2 linked regions of the Oryzias latipes genome follow. The protein of the gene in region 1 interacts with the protein of each later gene in a biochemical or structural test. Links are inferred from orthologs where the notes say so. Each region holds a gene or a part of one and is shown on either strand. Other genes may lie near its edges. The genes, in order: mitogen-activated protein kinase kinase kinase 11 and mapk8ip1.

Region 1 (3,825 bases):
ATAATTAAGTATTTCATCTTTGTCATGAGATTTATTGATACTTAAGGATTCTTAGTTCAGTCTGATAAAATGTTAAGAACCGGAATATGATAAATCATGTAATGACAATGGTTACGGTAGAACAGGGGTGGGGTCATATAAGTTCGCTGGTGATGTAGGGCACCGTAGCAATCTTTGATTTAATGTCTTTGTATGAATGTGAAAGTGCTGATTGTATTGTTTTGTGCATTGCTCTTGCTTTGATTGCTTGAAATAAACCATTTCAAATCAAATCAAAACTGTGAAAAAGAAAATGTAGTTAGCGATTAATGAGTAGAAATAGGTAATAATTAGTGTAGGCCAAACTATTGATCATATGTGATCAATTATACATTATTACAAAATAAAAGTCATGACTTTCTTCCAGAATTGTTGCTGTAGCACAAATATGATGAGTTTTCATGACTAGCTCCTATCAATGTAAACATGTATTCATTTTGGTTGTTTGAGACATTATGTATAAATGAATGCACGTTTTTTTTAATCACTTTTTCCCGAGTTTGCACTTTGCAGACAGCAGCTGTCTCACTGTCGTCTCTCTGTTAAATGTTTGTATGATATTAAAAATGTTTTCATTGCCTCTGTAGGTATTAGGGATGTCCCGCTTGGATCAGGTGATCAGAAATTGGACCCAATGCCGTTGTTGGTGGCTCAATGAAAGATGGGGTTGGGACATTTCATTTACTCTTATAATGACCCAGCACTTTATAGATCCATCTTCTTATTCCAGATAAATCCTCTACTAGACGTCTGTAGATCACGACCGGATCAGCAAGTGTCTCTATTGGGTCGTGTTAACGCAAACACAGACATGTTAGGAGAACAAAGATGAGCTTTTTGATTCTTTGTGAGGAGAACGGCTCTCTGGTGCTGCGACAGACGGAGACCCAGTGAGACGCTGCGGTATCTACACCCCTTAAGGCCAGAAGGACCTACTGTGCTAATAAAAGCTATAGCGTGATGTTCCTGCATGCTGATGCCAGGTCTGAAGAGGTTAAAACAAAGAATCCCATATTCTCTAAAAAAACAACCAAAACTAAAAAAGTCTTCCATTGATTTGAGCTACGGGTAGTCATGAAAATTCATCATCGTATTTATTCTAGAACAACGAAAATCCTTGTTCATTTTTAAGATTTTTGATGGAGATATAAATTGCATCTGATCAAAAATGTCCAATAGTTCAGAAGATACGAAGCTTCAGTCAAACTTTCTCACATGACTAATTATTATCACCAGTTTTTACTAGGTGATAGTTAACTACTAGTTGATATAGTTGAACTATTCTTACTTGATTGTTGCGGCTGCTTCAAAGTAGGGCTCTGTTAAAGATTTTAAATGTTAAAAGCAGGTTAATAAAGAAAAATAGGTCAAACCTGCATCTGTTTATTAAATTGATCAAATGTGTTACAAAAGTATCAGGACTCGGTATCCATCCATACTCAAAATCCAATGACTCGGAATCGGATCGGGACATCCCTAGGTAGCATTGAGACAAGCCAGGTTTGGAGGTATTGAGCCCGTAACTCTTTTTTTTAACGTGCCTCCTGCTGTGGCTTCCAGTAATAAAATGTTGCGATCTGTTCGCAGTGTGCAGACTTCTATTCATCTGTAATAACAAGCGTGAAATATGTGGCGCTGATCATAAAATTGAGAATAAAATACCGTTCCAATCCCTGATCGGGATACAACATCCGTTTGGGCCTGATTTTTGATCACATGACCAGATAAGTGTGATAATATCGTTGGGTGACGGCGGTCCACTTGAGGGCACTTGCATCGTTCTGTCGTACCAGACAAAAATGACTGCAGCTCTTTGGTCTGTTTGGGTTTCTGTCCTCTTGGGTTTGGCAGCAGGAAAAACGAACGGGAGCAGGTCTAAATAAAGAGGAACCGACTGAATCTAATCCTGCCCGCGCAGACAGGAAGTTAATAAATAAATAATCGGGAGAAACATCTATATGCTGCCAAACGCATATGACACAGCAGGCCAGCTGGGATTCAAAATGTGCTAACTAATACAACCTCTGGGTCCATTAATTCCATAAAAATAGCATTTTCTTGTTATCTAATTTAGCAGAATGTGGTACAATGGAACTGAGCTCAGCAAACTCCTGCTAATCAAGTTGGCAGTTCCCAAGACAAATATGTTTGGTAAGCCCCGAAGATAAATCACTGCATGCGACTATGAGGGCAAGCATAAATATCCACTAAACACATTTTAATGACAGGCGCACTCGTGGCTTAGTGACTGCCATTAAGGAGAGTCATTAGGAAGTGCGGAAGACTAGCCTGCTACCTCACAAGGCCGGCCGATGTCTGGCATTTACTTCTACAAACTGCACTCTTGTTTTTTTTTTCTGCTCCATTTTGTCAAATCCCTTTTACTGCCTGCGTCTACACGACAAATTTCTTTTGTCCCTTTGTTAGGAGGCACTGTGGAGAATCCCCGCTGCACAGAAGGACCTGGGGACATTTCTGTGAGATCCCGGCAAAAAAGCAGAGGAGATATTGTAAATCTGTGTGACCGCTGCAACCCTTCTTAACCCCATCTCACACAGCAATGAATTCCACCCTGCTTATTTTTAATTCAGTCAACCGCACCGCTGCTGCAGGCTTATGAAACCGTTCGTGCCCGAGTCCCGCGGTCACATGTCTCCCCCTGCTGCTGCAGTCAGGGAACTGCACACAGGAGCAGCAAAGGGGGTCTGAAATGGAAAAAAGGGCTGAGAGGAAGTCAGATAATATTTGGACTGGAACGGACTATTGAAAGGGAAAAGGGTGTGTGAGAGAGGGACAGAGCAGGGAGGGAAGAGACGGGGAGCGTGGGGCCCAGCAGGAAACGATGGGAGACAAAAGACGAGTGGGTGGTTGAGAGAACAGATCAAGAATCGGTCATCCAAGCTCTGCTGCCACAGCTTTCTACACGCATCTCCACCTTCGAATTGAAGCACTCAGTCCTGTAAAGTCAGTCCGCATGATGAGATCCGGACTCACGTTGGATTGCGCGAAAACGTGGGCCGAAGGAAGGCGAGGAGCCCGAACCCAAATCCGGAGAGTTCCTCCTCTTTTCCAGGCCTGGGGAGGCCTGCACTGTGATTTTATGGATGAAATCTGCAAAAAGGATGGAAAGAAAAAGAATACAGTCATTCTACTGTCACGTTTCTTCTTCTACAATGCAGAGCAGTGGTCCACAACCGTATTCAGGCCGTGGGCCGGTTTCATGTCAGACAACATTTTCCTGGACTGGCCAGTTCCAGGCGTCTGATTTTGTCTTCTAGCTTTTGAGGTTAAAGTTTACCTTCATTCTCTGTCAAATATCTTTAAACTTTATTTGTACTATAGATTTTGTGTAGGAGCCATTTGAACGTGACCCATAAAAAGTGGAAGATAAAAACAACTTTATTAGCAGCATCCATAATGGTTTATGGGAACAAATGTCCCAATAATTCCATGGTCTCAGTAAAGTCTCAGTAAAGATTTCTTTTATTTTGAAGTCAAAGGGTCTTCTTCTGTTTCCTTTTCTGCTAAAAGAAACTTTGCTGAAACATTTGTTTGTTAACTTTGCTAACTTCTTTAAGAGCGTAGCGGTTGGATTTTTGACTTGTGGCCGAGCGACTTGACGTGGACGTGGTGGAGAGAAACCGGTAGTTTTTCAAAACAAGGCGTCCTTCAGAATCAGATTTTCAAATAAAGAGTTTCTGAGGCAGGTTCTGCTTTTAGTTCTGACTTCCAGTAGCAAGTTACAGAACCAAAAAATGTGTGTCGCTAAACAATTTCAATATACGT
Region 2 (4,049 bases), on another chromosome or scaffold:
CAGTTATTAAACTTGATCTGCTCCTTCTTTCAGTGCAGTTCACACTTGCTGCATTATAATATCTCCAGCATTAAAAACAGAACTAAGGTCTAAGTGAGAAACCGTTTCTAGGTTTAACCGCTGTCTTCCTGTGTTTGTGGTAAAACCTTAACTTGCTTTTTCAAGCTGCTTGCTTGCAACAGCACACAACTTTCAGAGCGGGAAGTGAGAGTAGAAAGGGTGCCAGACTTTGGTGCTTTTAACATTTTACAAAAATTTTAGATCTTGTTTTTAATACGCTACACATTAGCCACTTTAAAAGCTTTAGCTGTGTTTGTGTTTTTACAAAACCTGCAACTCCCAACCTTGTAAAGAAACCAAATAATACAGCTAAAAGAAACGTTACTGTGATTGCGCTAACTCCAAGCCTTGTTAGTAACACGTGAAATAAAGTCAGACACTGCAATTTATGCGAACTGATAAACCCTTTTTTTCTAAACTTTTTTTAAAACTCTGAAATCCCAATTTTTACTTCTCTTAAAAAATTTCTTTACATGAACAGAAGCTAACATAGAGAAGTTGTGAGCTATTTGATCATAAAAAAGGTTTTTGTGTTCATTTGTAAATGAATCCAGTGATAACAAAAGACTCAGTCTGCATCAAAACCATTTACTCATGACTACTGAAAGGTAAAAGAAAAAACAATCAAAAACAAAAAGGATTTGTACACAACAAATATTGAGTCATTACATTGTAATAAACTTTAAATGCTGAACTATTTACACAAGGCATAGCCCTCCCTGCAGCATATTTCCTCATGCAGGCATCATTGTTTTCTCATTATGAGAATAAAATGGCTTTCTTCAGATGACTTCCTAAAGTTTTGTTATTTTTATATTAAAAGGGACCATAACAAAAAAAAATGTAGATCAGTTTAGAGGCTACAGAAAATACTTGTTAACCAATATAAATCAAAATTAATAAATGCAACCAGTTTTTATTTCAGGGATGTGGGCTATAGTCATGATAAAAACAAAATAAAGTAAGATATAAAAATACATCTATAAATATATTTAAATAATTAAGAAGTTTGGTTTAATAAAGACCATCTCTAGAAACAGAAATTAGTAAAAGTTAAGTATCTTTCAGCGTTGCAGTCATTTTTCACCACTATATCTGACTATAATAGCATTTTTTCATGAAAGAGCCCAAATATTTGTGGAGTAATCTGCCATGAAACTTCTATGTTACTCTCGCCTTACAAGTTGTAGATCAAGCAAAGAGCATGAGCTCCTCTTTTTCCAAAATCAACATATTAAATTCAGGAAATTAACTGGAGAATCAGAAGTTCCTGGCCTGCGCTTGCTTCAGTGATCAGCGGTTCTGCTGCAGGGGATCGGTCGTAAAAAAAAAGTTGAATACACATCATCGTCATCAGTAAGTTGTTTTCTTTTGTTGTTTTGCTATGATACAGCATTGAACACCCTCGCAGTTATTCCAGGTAAATGTCCTCCGTGGGACAAGAGAATTCCACATATTCCTTGTAGTACAACTGAAAGGCTTTCCTGGAAAAAACAAAACAAAAAAAACCAAATCAAATCAAATGATTTAACTTGAAATCACACAATTTACTTTTTAAGAAAAAATTAAGAATTTATTAAGAGCTTTAAATGTGAACATATAGGTGTCAAAAACCGTACTCACCCCACTGAATCCGCCAGAGGTTTGGTGGAGTTTTCAGAAACAAAAACATGGCAGGCAAATCTCTGGTCTGCTGGGTGCTTAGTGATGAAACCAAAATATCTAATAGAGAGAAAGAAAGATAGTAGAATTAGAATAAATTGAATAGACATTAGAACAAGGAAATTGTTGAATTTAGTCAACAGTAATGTGATTTTTTTACTGCATTTTAAATTAAAAGCCAGAAGTCAGTGGTTCAATTGCAGACATGAAACACCCTTTGATTCTACTGACACCTTGTGGGAAGCATATGTCCCTGCACACAAAACAAGAGCAGAGTTGGAAAATATAACAGCTTTTTACTCACTTGCAGTTTTTTGGATGATAACCACAAAAAGAGACGTTCTTTAACTGGAAAAAGTGGCTGCCCTCATTACTCTGTAAACAAGACCCAGGAAGCAGAACAAAAAACAGAGACAAAAGTTAACATTTTAAGAGTTTGATATTTCTGTTGTTATTATCAATGTAAATTTGGAATGAAGTGATAAGTACAAAGATACTTATTAAAACACTTTTATCAATATGAGGACATTGAAGATGAGATTTAAAAAAACGTAAACATCGTCATTCAATCAGCTAAGTCCCATAGTACCAACCTTTTCACGTTTCTGATTGTGTTTCATTTTTCTGACATTTTATTTTGATTACTGGAAATTAAGTATTTATTATTTTCCAAATATAATTCCGAAAAATTATTTACACTTTTTATTTTTCATCATTTCTTTGGAATTGTGTTTTGGTTTCTGTAAATTTGTTTCGAAATATGTAATGTGTTTTTTTTCTTATCATTATTTGTTTTGCTTTTTTATTTGTCGTTGGGATCTTTAATATTTTTTTGCATTGAGAATTTTGTTGGTGTGGCTTGCAATTCAGGGTCACCGTAGTTCTCAATGTTACACTACCCCAAAATATATAAAAGTAAAGCCATTATCCTTTTTAGATACAATTTATTTAAAATGTCTTATTCAAAATAAAAATTCAGTTCATGATACAGTGTTTTAAATAACACTTGAAAAGTTAAAGCGTTTGTAAAAGATAACATTAGTTGTAGTTTTGGTTTGTAGCCACTAGCAAACTGTTTTACAACCTGTTCAACACACACATAAACGCATATACACACACACACACACACCCACACACACATCATATATTATATATTCACACACACACACAGTTTTATATAATCCTTTTATTGGTTGAATGCAAAAACAATTACACCGATTGTTGTATCTTCCGCCATTTTTGGGCACTTAACTCCTACAATTGTTCAGCTATTTTAACCATTCAACTCCTAAAATGTCCAGGAATAACTTTTGGTCCTTCAAGTCCTTGAACTTTTCAAGATATTCCAGGATTTTTGCCTCGATTGAGATACATACATATTTGAAAACCTTTTCTTCTTTTTGTGGTGCAAAATCTCGCCGGTTCGAAATCTGCCGCTCGCATTTTAGTCTTGCGATTTTGCAGTTTACAGTTTTTTCACAAACTGACTTCAACCTTTGATTACTTTTCATCAATCTAGATCTTAAAATCATGTAGCTACTGTATTCCAGTTAGAGAAAAGAAGGAATAGTCAGACTCTTACTCTGTCAGAGGCATAGTAATCTTCTTGAACAGCAAGCTTGATGCCTTTGACACTGATCTCCAGGATGCAGGAGGAAGGGGGGTTGTATTTCACTGTCATCCTTCTGTTGGTGGCGATCTAAAAAATATGAAAGGCGATTTCAAAAAGTGTTAAAACTGTGTATCTGTTTCTCTCAGCAGGTTGAATTGCTCTACATGACATGCAGCAGTTTTTTCAAATTTGAAAGGACACACATGCAAACGCAGCCCATCTACCTTCTGCATAGCTGCACACAGGACATCGTTTCCTTTGTGATAGGGCACTTGAACTGATCCCAGGAACTTCAGGTGATATCTCTCTATCCATTCATCGCTCTTTATCACTGTAGACAAATAATAAGTCAATAACATGACACATAAAAAGGGTTTATTATAAATCAAAAAGGCATTAAAAATTCTTCAAGACAAATGTATTTAACAATTCATCAGCTTCACTCATAGTTTGGGATAAACAAAGAGGCTTGCTGGTTGATTTTGAAAATGATACTTCTGTTTGTTTGTTTTTAATCCATCCCTCTTCTGAACCCACTGAATCCATTTTGGGGTCATGAGACTGCTGGAGCCAACTTGGCTAATGTTTGGCGGGAGTGGGCTCCACTCTGGACAGGTCCCCAGTCTGCTGCAGGGCCACACGCTCACACTTGAGGTTAATTTAGAGATACCAATTAACATATGAAGCATGTTTTTTGGCCTGTGCCAGAGAAAAG

The links.
Region 2: the proteins of mitogen-activated protein kinase kinase kinase 11 (region 1) and mapk8ip1 form a complex in vitro, tested with the Homo sapiens proteins (2 studies listed by BioGRID). The link is inferred for Oryzias latipes from reciprocal best matches to the Homo sapiens genes MAP3K11 and MAPK8IP1.

Annotation. Positions count from the first base shown.
Region 1 is NC_019876.2:27,304,039-27,307,863, reverse strand, and holds part of mitogen-activated protein kinase kinase kinase 11, read right to left. Parts: intron 3,151-3,825; coding exon 3,034-3,150; intron 1-3,033. UniProt on the Homo sapiens protein: Activates the JUN N-terminal pathway. Required for serum-stimulated cell proliferation and for mitogen and cytokine activation of MAPK14 (p38), MAPK3 (ERK) and MAPK8 (JNK1) through phosphorylation and activation of MAP2K4/MKK4 and MAP2K7/MKK7.
Region 2 is NC_019861.2:7,558,148-7,562,196, forward strand, and holds the end of mapk8ip1 (C-Jun-amino-terminal kinase-interacting protein 1), read right to left. Parts: intron 3,666-4,049; coding exon 3,559-3,665; intron 3,422-3,558; coding exon 3,305-3,421; intron 2,098-3,304; coding exon 2,027-2,097; intron 1,783-2,026; coding exon 1,684-1,782; intron 1,545-1,683; coding exon 1,472-1,544; 3' UTR 629-1,471; downstream 1-628. UniProt on the Homo sapiens protein: The JNK-interacting protein (JIP) group of scaffold proteins selectively mediates JNK signaling by aggregating specific components of the MAPK cascade to form a functional JNK signaling module. Required for JNK activation in response to excitotoxic stress.